3 linked regions of the Arabidopsis thaliana genome follow. The protein of the gene in region 1 interacts with the protein of each later gene in a pairwise test. Each region holds a gene or a part of one and is shown in the gene's direction. Other genes may lie near its edges.

Region 1 (4,795 bases):
GAAGTCATACCAAAAGATTCGTCCTGAGCATGAATCGAAAGGAAAAGAAATCCAAGCAAATACTTTTCAAAAATGTGACAGTGCTTGTTTCAGATGTGACCCTAAGGCACATCGGTATCAGGTATGCCGAACTCCAGCACACCTTTGTGCTCTGTACAAAAAATCTGTTAAGGGAAAAGGAAAGGAAGTGAACCTTGCGGAACATTCTGAGGGTACAACCCACCTTGATGCTTCTGACTTTGCTAATGATCTCGATGAGGTTGTCCTTGTGGAAAACTGAAATTTCTATCGTGTGGGGCTCGAATTAATATGTCATAAATAAATCGACGCTTGCTTGAAATTTCCTAAGTTTGTGTGTTTGTATTACCTATCATGTGTAATTATTGTGTGCTTGTGTTACCTATCATGTATAATTATCGGGTGTTATATGCTTGATTAATAAATTTATTTTCTACTTACCTTAATCGATTATGTTTATTTCAGAAATGGATCACATTACAAATGGAATGGTATCCAAGGCAAACCTTAGAGATATTTGCATACCGAATAGTGGAACAACACACACTATTCTAAAACAAAAAAAAAAATTCTCTCATTTGAAATCAACAAAAGTTATTGTTAACACAATATCAGGTCCCATAGACTTAATTGAATGGACCGGTAAAACAAATTTTGCATTACTTAACGGGACAAAGTTCTCGATAAATAATGCATTATTTTTACCAAATTCAAAAAGAAATTTGTTGAGTTTCAAAGATATATACCTTCATGGATATGACACTCAGTGTGCAAGTGAGAATGAAAAAAAGTACATGTATATCACTTCTGAAAAATTGGGAAAAAGACACGTTTTGGAAAAATTACCAAGACTCCCATCAGGATTGCATCATACATACATTAATTCAATAGGATCACATCTTGTTATCAAAAGAGATCATGATGATTTCACATTGTGGCACGATCGCCTTGGTCACCCAGGCACCACGATGATGCAAAAAATTATAAAAAGCTCACATGGACATTCAATGAAACCCTAAGAGTTTTATCAAGAAAATAAAAGGACATGTGTTACGTTTTCTCTTGGAAAATTGATTATAAGGCCATCGACAAGCAAAATCGATAAAGAATTACCAAAATTCCTTGAACGAGTCAAATGCGACATTTGTGAACCTATACACCCACCATGTATACCATTATATTATTTCATGGTAATGATAGACATGTCTAGTAGATGGTCACATGTTTGTTTGTTATCATCTTGAAATGTGGTATTTGCGAGATTTCTAACTCAGATAATCAAAACTAAGAGCTGAGTTTCCTGATTATCCAATCAAAGGAGTTAGATTAGATAACGTTGGTGAATTTACGTCTCAAGCATTCAATGATTATTACATGGTAACAAGAAAAAATGTCGAACATCCTGCACCCCATGTCCATAGTCATTCGAGGGAGAGCTTGTATGATTATACTTTTTTACCTTACTGTGGTTTCTACCAATGGATTTTATTAGAAAAGTTTTAACGAGACAACATGAAAGATATCGCAAAGAGATAAATGACAAATGAACTCTGGACGAGAAGAATGTTGCAAAAATTAAAGAAATATTTACATATTAAGTCCATTTGCATTTTATCTATATACACTCATATAGATAAAAAAAAAACAACGTAAAGTTTCTTTTATTATTATTTTTCTTTCGTGATTGTTCTTTTTCTCATATTTCTTCTTTTTAATATATTTATTATTATTCTTTTTAAAATATTAAAAAAATTGAATTGATAAATAACTTATAATACAAAATTCTATTAAATTATATTAATAAAATTAACCGCTCTGTGTTTTATTTTTTCAGAGGTTTACTTAATCTTCAATAAGCGTAAATGTTTTGGTTGGTAATGTTATTATGTTTATAAAAAAACAACTAACCAAGTTTTTACGTTAGAAAATATCAAAAACACTTTTGGAAGGAAAACTTGGGTACACGATTGAAACGACGTCGTTTATGAAAGCAAAACAAAACCCAGAAAGTTTAGGTCTCGCCGGAAAAATCGAATCAAGCATCTTCTTCTTTCACGTACGAAACAAAAAGCTCAGAGCAGAGTCGAATCGGTACGAATCTTTATCTAAATCACTCTGATTTAGTTTCGGTTATTGTGAACCATTTGATTGCTCTGTCCTTTCAATTATCTATCTAGGTTCGATTACTTCGTTAGCTGCTTAATTCTGTGATCAATTATCTCATTTAGTGATTTTGATTTTAGGGTTTTCTCTTTCTTCCTTTAATCTTATATTGGGATCTTCTGTATCGGATAAAGTCATAACCTTTGAGATAAAGGAATCATCTTTATTGCTGAAAATGATTGAGCTTTAGGTCTAATACAAGTCTGAGAGTCTGATTTCGATTCTGAGTATAAAAATTGAAACTTTCTATTTAGGGTTTTCTTAATCATTTGTGTTGCTATGGTTGCTTAATGTATCACTAAATCTTGGTCTTATTAGTTGGTTGCTACTGATATAGAATTGCATCTGTGAGTAAATTTAGCTCAAAGATAAAAGAGTCCCCTTTATCGCTGAAATGATCGAGCTTTGAGCTCTAATACAAGTTAAAGCGTTCGAATAATCGATTCTGATCATAAAAATTGAATCTTGCTATATAGTAGTTGCTTAATCATTTGTGTTGCCATGGTTGCTCAATGTAGCACTTAATCTTAGTTGATTCTTAGTTAGAATTGCATCGGTGAGTAAACTTGGCTCAAAGATAAAAGAGTCCCCTTTATCGATGAAATTGTCGAGCTTTGAGCTCTAATACAAGTTAAAGCGTTCGAATATCGATTCTGATCATAAAAATTGAATCTTGCTGTATAGTAGGTTCTTAATGATTTGTGTTACCATGGTTGCTCAATGTAGCACTTAATCTTATTAGTTGATTCTTAGTTGGAATTGCATCGGTGTGTCGTTGGGATTGTCTTTGAAGGATTAATATGTGTTTTCTCTTTGCTTATGAAGCGATGAAGCATCGAGTTCGGTGTTCATGAAGGTCAGAGAGTTAAGTATTAGCAGAACTGGTTAGGTCTTAGTGACAAACAAGGTATTCATGTTATCCATCCCTGATACTAGAATGTGGAATCTAGCATCGAGTTATCTTACGGGAAACATTGGACCGAAAAACGATATCAGAAGACCGGTCCATGCTCATGCGGAGTGTTCAGATGACGATGTATCTTCTGTAGGTAGTAAAGACGAAGGTCTCGAGTGTCCTATATGCTGGGAATCATTTAATATAGTTGAAAACGTTCCGTATGTGTTATGGTGTGGACATACGATGTGTAAAAACTGCATTTTGGGACTTCAATGGGCTATTGTGAAATTGCCTACTCACCCGGTTCAGCTTCCTCTCTTCATTTCATGCCCCTGGTGCAACCTTTTGTCTTTCCGTCTGGTCTTCAGAGGAACACTCAGATTCCCTCACAAGAACTACTTTGTGCTTTGGATGGTCGAGAGGATGAATGGAGAGAGACGTAACTCACCTGGTGGAGCTCAAACAGATGGAAACAATGATCATACAAGGGAAACTCCATCTCCATGTCTCCACAATCGCCATCATCGCAGTCAACCTGAACCATCACGTTCTGTTAATGATCATCGCATTCCAAGGGACAACATACAAACTTCACTGAGGAAGTCTCTGGTTTTCTTTGTCCAGTTGACAGCAAAGTTCCCATTAGTTGTCATATTTCTGCTGATAATACTCTATGCAATACCGACCAGTGCAGCCATATTGGCGATGTACATTCTAGTCACTCTCTTGCTGGCTCTACCGTCGTTTCTCATCCTCTACTTCGCTTATCCTTGTCTCGACTGGCTTGTTCGAGAGATTGTCACATGAACTTTCTAAGGATGCGTTCAGAAACTTCCCATTCCTAATTTGACGACTTTTCTTCAACAACTGAGACCCAAGATCGGTCATGTAAGTATAACAATTTCGTAATTACCGTCTTCTTTATCTATATATGGATGTAGTTTTGGATTGCATTGTTGCTCTACGAAGCTGGACGTATGTGTTGTAAGGGCTCTTGCAGAAACTTATTAGTATTTGTGGATTTGTTTGTGAGTGTTTGAGTGTCTCAATAAGATTTATGTATATAAAGTTTATGCAATGTTATTTAGGAATTGCGTAACTAAATGCATTGATTTTTCTTATATATAATGACTAAATTGTATGGGTTTTTTTTTCTTTTGTTTGTTTGTTCCACCCATTTCCATAGAAGAAAGCAAAAGATGACACCCAAAATTAGGGGTGGGTGTACGGCTTTTCGGTTTGGTTTCGGTTCGGTTATTTCTCTTTTATGTTTTCTATGAGTTCTAGTCTAGATCATTTGAGCTTAAAGCGTTAATTGTGTTCTACGATATGAAACAAAGACTCAAAGAGCATTCAAATATGATGTATACACAAAAAGAAAGAGTTAAGCTGTCTTAGTTTATGTGTCCCTCTTCCACCGCAGCAAAATCAAGCCCGGAAATCTTCATCGGTCCAATGTTAACTGGCAAAAACCCCGGTGTGTTGATTCAACAAAACAAGACAACATAAATGTAATGAGAATGGCACAAGAATAAAGTGTTGGTTTTACTTACTAACAGCATCAAGTCCAGCTAATTTGGGCATAAACTGTCTGATATGGTCCTCTGCTGCTTCATCTGCCTTCAATGTCTCACACTCGAACGAAACCGATACTTTCTTCTTCCCGTGTTTTTCTTCGACTAATCCTATCACATCTTCCTCCCACCTTTCCAAAGA
Region 2 (4,287 bases), on another chromosome or scaffold:
CGTTAATGTTTCCTTTTGCTCCATAGTGGTCATCTTTGTAACTAATTGTGGCAAACTAAAATCCGAAGAGAAAAAGAATAGATAATCAAAAAATATTATAAGCATTGTGGACAAGTTACAAGGCGATCTCAATTCAACTACGTGTAATAAGAAATGATTCTTACATGATGACCAGTTAAATCAATTTTCTTGTCCTTTGCAGACACTTGTCCTGGATAGTTGAATCGTAAGGATTGCAAACGTTGAGCTCGTATAAGATCTTCAAGTATAATTCTTTTGACAATGACTGTCCCAACTGGACAACTTATGTCATCTTGTCGAAATGGCAGAGAACTAGTTTTATGAGAAGCGTTGTTATCTTTGGTCCATTTAGGTATAGTTGTGGGTTTCAACTGCATTTATATTTCAATCCATCCAAACATTAATAAGAATTTTATTTATAGATATTTTTTCGTGGTTTGTAGGATAAACCTTAATAGAATGGTTCTTGAGCAAAGGATGATCAAAAGCTAGCTGTTTTTGAATGTCGATGCAGTCAAATATATAACCATGTTCAGTCTGTCGAAATCAAAAGCAAGAAAAAATTGGTGTGGTCTGAAAATAAATGTAACTTGATGATAGTTGTAATATTGTTACAATAGTCAACAATTTTTGTAATGTTTTATGAAAATTTAAGAAAAGAAAGGCTAAATTTACTTGGAAACTTTTGACTGCAGGTTTATTGAGATAGGTAAGTAGCTTCTTCATCTCTTCTTTCTCCTCTTTCGAAGGTATTGTTTTGTGACTCTCTCCAACTAAAATGAGAGCTATTGTTGATAAAGTTAGCAAGATAATTAGTTTATTGGAATACCTCATGATGAATCAAGGATCTTAATCTATATTTTTCAAAAGAAAAAATGAAGCAGAACAACTATATTTATTGTGTCACATAAATCTGAGATCATTTATAACCACCAAAGAACCTATACACAGTAAATGACAAATGTATCTCCCTCTATCTCTATTGCCCATATGTAGATGCTAAAGTAAGATTTCTCTTTTTTTTAATGTACTTTTTTTTGTATAAAGTATATTCCATAAGAAAAAGGAAAAGCTTGTTTATGGATCAATTGACCCCAAAAAAAGTTTTTAGATCAAAGCCCAATATAAAAAAAAAACACAGTAGTGACACAAAGGAACTTAAATAAACCATGAATTGATCTATAAACAGTAGAGATCGATAAGGCGAACATTTTCCATGTGAAGTGTCTTCTTTCATCTATAATATTTTTGACATCCAATAATTTCCTCTATAATATCATTCACATAATTGATAGAAACATTATGTTAGAATTGTCCACATCATTTGAGCTGTAATATATTCTGTTTTAACAAATTATATGGTAGTTGCTTAATCTTATGTCCATCTTCTTCTATGCATCGTTTTCGCGCCTAGTTGTCCAGTCCATTTCAACTACCTACCTCTAATTCTTATCTTAAAACAACATTTTTTAATTTAAGTATTATGCTCAAAGACTAACTAGATAGAAAACCGTTATTAAACATTAAACGAATTAAAAGTCTTACATGGAAAATGTAGGTTTATAAACCACGAGTTATGATTGACAATAAAAAAAATGCAAATCATCAATCAAAAGAGACTTGAGTGCGACTCTATATCAACCATTGCAATTAAAATTATCTATCACAAAAATTTTAGACAGATTAAGTTAATTTAGTCTAAATTCACTAATTTATTTTCTATAATTAGTAATTAACTATATTTATTTATTTACACATTTTCTGATAATTTAGAAATTTGCATGAATAACAAATATAAGATTTTGGAAATTAGTAGCAAATTTAATTAATAATTATTTTTGCCTAAATGAACCAAACTATAAAACCTCCACATACACCAGTCATCAAATTTACAGAGACAACAAACTAAAGTTGGTGGTGATAGAGTGAGAGAGAAACATGGAAGGCAAAGAAGAAGACGTCAATGTTGGAGCCAACAAGTTCCCAGAGAGACAGCCGATCGGTACGGCGGCTCAGACGGAGAGCAAGGACTATAAGGAACCACCACCGGCGCCGTTTTTCGAACCCGGCGAGCTCAAATCTTGGTCTTTCTACAGAGCAGGGATAGCTGAGTTCATAGCCACTTTCCTTTTCCTCTACGTCACCGTTTTGACAGTCATGGGTGTTAAGAGAGCTCCCAATATGTGTGCCTCTGTTGGAATCCAAGGCATCGCTTGGGCTTTTGGTGGCATGATCTTTGCTCTTGTTTACTGTACTGCTGGAATCTCAGGTTCAGGATCTGTTCTTGCTCTGAATTTTGTTTAAAGTTTTCGAATTTAGGTTGAAGGAATCTGGAATTAGGGTTACTTGGTTGTGAGAAACTTGGATATAATGAAGAAAGTTTGATACTTAAAAGTAATTTCACATTTAAAGATTGAAACTTTGAGTAATTTTCTTCTTAAAGTTTGAAACTTTGGTTAGTTTGCCCCACTTTGTTTCTTCTGTGTGAAGATCATAATCTGATTTTGACTTGTGTGTGGCGAATTGGTTTGGTAATGAGCAGGAGGACATATTAATCCGGCGGTGACTTTTGGTTTGTTCTTGGCGAGGAAGCTATCTTTAACCAGAGCTCTGTTCTACATAGTAATGCAGTGCCTTGGAGCTATATGTGGTGCTGGTGTGGTTAAAGGGTTTCAACCAGGGCTGTACCAGACGAATGGCGGTGGAGCTAATGTGGTGGCTCATGGTTACACAAAGGGTTCAGGTCTTGGTGCAGAGATTGTTGGAACTTTTGTTCTGGTTTACACTGTTTTCTCAGCTACTGATGCTAAGAGAAGTGCCAGAGACTCTCATGTCCCTGTATGTTGCTAATTCTCTAGTATCCTTGAGTTGTGTTGAGTTCATATTCTTCACATAGAGCTCATGTGTTTTTTGGTTATCGAACATTTTGCAGATCTTGGCTCCGCTTCCAATTGGGTTTGCTGTCTTCTTGGTGCACTTGGCTACCATCCCAATTACTGGAACTGGCATTAACCCGGCCAGGAGTCTCGGAGCTGCCATCATCTACAACAAGGATCATGCTTGGGATGACCATGTAAGTTTTCCTCTTTAATTACATCAACGGTTGTGCTAAGTATGATAAGTTATGAATTGCATCTAAATAGCAACTCAGAATTTTTGATAATTCTGCTCTTATCTGTTGTCTCTTTTGTTTTATGTGTCTGCAGTGGATCTTCTGGGTCGGTCCATTCATTGGTGCTGCGCTTGCTGCTCTGTACCATCAGATAGTCATCAGAGCTATTCCTTTCAAGTCCAAGACATAAAGTTTCCTACATATTCTCTGATCATCATCAAGCTAAGAATATATCAATCTTTAATTCTATATGCTTTCTTCTTGTTTCCTATGTCATGTGTGATGATCTCTATATGTACCACTAGAGCTTTGATCTTGTAACAGTGTAAATGTGTAATCTATTATGTATCAATGGCATTGTATCTTGTAACATTAATTATGTCAATGGAAGAATACATTGTGTACATGTGTAAGCTCAGAATCTTGTTTGAATATCACAGAGACATAACTGAACTGGACATAGGTATGCTAAGTTGCTAACATTGTCAATAAGTGTTTCCAATACCAAACATTAGCAACATAATTGTAAAATGTGTAGAATTTGATAGAACAACATCTAAGCCGAACTGAACTGGTCTAACACCATCATCGCAAGTATTTCTTCATCTTCTTTCTTCTATAAGAGTCTTTCATTTTCCACTTTTTATAACATGCTTATAACTGAATTTTCAACTTTTGAATCACAGTTTCAGTTATAGATATTCTTGGATGATGTTCAGTTCGGGGTTTTGGTTTTGGTTTTGGTTTTGGTTGATAGTCATGAAAATGCATGTTCTGTTCCACATGGTAGGGTTCCAGTAAAATAATAAAAGAACCAGATTTAGTAACATCTTTCACATGAATGATAACATATTTCACATGTTTGATGCAGCAACTTGTAATATGGATGATAGTCATGAAAGAATCTAATGGGCCAAGAAATGTGAAAGAGTCTACATGACTATCATCCAAAAAAGAGTTGTAGCAATATGGATGGGCCAAGAAAGTGCAAGACTTCAGCTTGAGCTTGACTTTAAGAGAATAAGTAATTTGCATTTGCCCTTTGGTCATGTAGTACTCGGGTTGTTTACATTTATCAAACAAATATCAGAGTTGTTTATTGTTATTTGGGAAAATCTTTAAACTTTCTACATAATCTTTGAGACTAGTGGGAA
Region 3 (3,003 bases), 7.0 Mb from region 1:
CTTCATTAATTTTTCATGCTGTTAACAGATTTAAGTTTATCCAAAATCCTTTTGTTCTTTTGATATCTAAATATCTCCCCACATCTGGTACTGCAGGACTAATAGTCTCAGTGGTGAAACCTCAGCCAGGCGAGAGGATAATGGATGCATGTGCTGCTCCTGGAGGAAAGACCCTATTCATGGCATCTTGCTTGAAAGGCCAAGGTAATATTACAAAGACCCCTTATTTTCCTCTATTGTACATTAATGTTGAATTAAATTATCTATTTTGAGAAACTTTTCTACTATACTTGACTGATTCCATCCTCAAACTGGCAAACTCGAATCGATTATAGGTATGATATATGCTATGGATGTGAATGAAGGACGGCTAAGAATTCTTGGTGAGACAGCAAAATCACACCAAGTTGATGGACTTATCACAACCATTCATTCTGATCTTCGTGTCTTTGCTGTAAGTTAACATTATTTGAGTATCTGAAGTTTCCAAGTTTGTAAGCTACTCACATGCTTCCTTCCAACTTAATGTGTTTTAGGAAACCAATGAAGTACAATATGACAAAGTTTTGCTTGATGCCCCGTGTTCTGGACTCGGCGTCCTCTCCAAGGTTAACATGAGAAAAGTTTATCTAACTGTTTCGCCAGCAAGATTTAACATTGCTAGTTGAATTGACCTGATCTGATTAACCTGTTCCCATTAATCTGTATTTTGTAGAGAGCGGATTTGCGCTGGAACCGTAAACTTGAGGACATGTTAGAGCTCACTAAACTGCAGGATGAGCTTCTTGATTCTGCCTCCAAGTATGCACTCTGTACATACATTTTGATGAGTCATTTGATTAATTCTGAAACACTAATATGCGACTTATCTGATACTTTTATCTGTGACACTCTTGATTGAATCTCAAAGACTGGTGAAGCACGGTGGGGTGTTGGTATACAGTACTTGCTCCATAGACCCCGAGGAAAATGAAGGAAGGGTCGAAGCATTTCTCTTAAGACATCCTGTAAGAATCTTTATAATCCATTTGCTTTCCTTCAGATGTTGATATTAACAAATAGTCTCTCTGCTTTCACAGGAATTCACCATAGATCCAGTAACCAGTTTTGTACCGTCGAGTTTTGTAACCTCACAAGGCTTCTTTTTATCAAACCCAGTGAAACACTCACTAGATGGAGCATTTGCAGCTCGTCTGGTTCGAGCCTTGTGACGTTAAAAGCAAGCTGTATTTGTCTCTGCTGAGAGTTTGGATGCAATTAGACGAAGAGGATAAATGAAAACACCTTCTCTTTTATTCGTAGAGTTGGGTTTTATGAGAGAAGTGTAAACTTGTAGAGATGCTGCTAATTGTATGTTGATATGTTTAAAGAAAATGCCTCGCCGTTTTGCCAGAGCTAGAAAGTAGAAACGGCGGCTCGTGTAAGTTCTAACAAAAGAGTAGTCGTCTGTTAGCAACCCAAATCGGGCTTTTAAAGGCCCATATTTTGGTCGGCCTGAATCCAAAGTTAAAAATTCAATCATGCAAAACGGACAACATTATAACTGAATTGAAAATATCTCTCTTATCATTATTTTAGCTTTGTACGATTTACTATTTATGTCAGAAAATGTTTCATTCTTTGACTTTTACGACAACTTTACAAAAAAAAAAATGTTCATACAAGTCACAGAACAAAGTAACATAAAAATCTTAAAAATATATTATCATTTTCGTTAGAAGAAAAACAGTATAATTTTCAAACGCGTTTAAAAACAAAATAACTTGAGATTTTGACGTTATCCTTGTCACAGAGAATCTTTCCTATTTCTTTACGTATAGACACTCAGAGGAAAGACAGAGAGAGAGTTAGCATTGTACTATCTCTCTTTTAGATATATCTCTATCTCTCTTCACTCCATCTTTCTCGTGTTAACACAACAGTCACAGACTCACAGATCTTTGTCGGTGATCGGAGATGGAGTTCCGGGAGAAGCTTTTGAAGTTCAAGTTGCAAATCGTGTTTGCCTTTGTTTTATCTCTCCTCACCGTAGCTCTCGTCGCTTATTCTCCCGGTTTCCTCACCGTTCTATCTTACTTCTGGCCACTTTTTCTCTCCACGGCTCTCTTTCTCGCTGCCGTTTTCTTCTTCGCACGCACCTCCGATCTCCCGGTTTCGTCTACCATCATCCCAGGCGAAGGCGCAGGCTTAAAAGTGGCGGCGGAAGGGATTCTTGACTATGTCGTCGGCGGACAACACGAAGACATTCTCTTTGATAGCTTCACCAAACTTGACTAAGTATGAGACCTCTCTGTTCTTAATTCCTTAAGTATTTCCGTTAATTAGTTGTTCCTTTTTTAATACTAGAGAAAATAAAATTACAAAATGTAATATTTTCACGAGGAATAAAATCTTGCTTAAGTTTATGCTTCTATATTACTTATTTTAATCTTATGTTTCTGTTTAGGCGCGAGGCTTCTTTTCTTTAGGTATCTCTCATTAGTTTATACGTTACAAGATTACACATTGCATTGATATATGATTTTACTTTCAAAAAAAATTTAAATGTTGAACGACCTTAAAATCCGTGCGCTTTACTTTTAAATCTTTCCGAATGAAACCCAACCACCGACGCGACAGCTTTTCATTTGTTTACTAATTAAACGGAACAAAGCAATTTAAATGTTATCAGTGTTGTGTTTTAGTTAGAAATACTATAAATAATACAAGATGCCTCTTTTGTTTTAGAACTTTTTTGGTATCATGAATTCGTTATCGGATAAAATACGTTAAAGCTAAGTAGTATATTCTTAGATTATATATAAATTAGGTGAGCAATCTATCATAGAGAAGAAATGATTAAAATAAGTGTATGGCATAATAGATTCGAACATTTTGGTATGTTCCTCACGTGTCCGAGCATAAAGCTTATGAACAAATCTCGACCACTAGAAGTCTAGAACTAATTCTAATCTAGTTTACCATACACATTAATTATTTCAAATTTAGTGCACATGATTATTT

Evidence for each region.
Region 2: the proteins of AT3G29270 (region 1) and PIP1;5 interact in a two-hybrid assay, tested with the Arabidopsis thaliana proteins (2 studies listed by BioGRID, with this or other methods).
Region 3: the proteins of AT3G29270 (region 1) and AT3G13175 interact in a two-hybrid assay, tested with the Arabidopsis thaliana proteins (2 studies listed by BioGRID, with this or other methods).

What each region holds. Positions count from the first base shown.
Region 1 is NC_003074.8:11,232,232-11,237,026, forward strand, and holds AT3G29270 (RING/U-box superfamily protein), read left to right. Parts: upstream 1-1,941; 5' UTR 1,942-2,109; exon of another isoform or gene 2,110-3,006; 5' UTR 3,007-3,094; coding exon 3,095-3,886; 3' UTR 3,887-4,227; downstream 4,228-4,795. Other genes in the region: AT3G29280 (uncharacterized protein), read right to left, coding at 4,474-4,541, 4,633-4,795.
Region 2 is NC_003075.7:12,218,833-12,223,119, forward strand, and holds PIP1;5 (plasma membrane intrinsic protein 1;5), read left to right. Parts: upstream 1-1,808; 5' UTR 1,809-1,959; coding exon 1,960-2,290; intron 2,291-2,563; coding exon 2,564-2,859; intron 2,860-2,953; coding exon 2,954-3,094; intron 3,095-3,227; coding exon 3,228-3,323; 3' UTR 3,324-3,636; downstream 3,637-4,287. Other genes in the region: AT4G23390 (NEP-interacting protein, putative (DUF239)), read right to left, coding at 1-55, 165-392, 472-558, 697-855. UniProt on the Arabidopsis thaliana protein: Aquaporins facilitate the transport of water and small neutral solutes across cell membranes.
Region 3 is NC_003074.8:4,234,534-4,237,536, reverse strand, and holds AT3G13175 (uncharacterized protein), read left to right. Parts: upstream 1-1,722; 5' UTR 1,723-1,956; coding exon 1,957-2,277; 3' UTR 2,278-2,462; downstream 2,463-3,003. Other genes in the region: AT3G13180 (NOL1/NOP2/sun family protein / antitermination NusB domain-containing protein), read left to right, coding at 97-204, 336-454, 537-608, 716-801, 911-1,007, 1,080-1,211.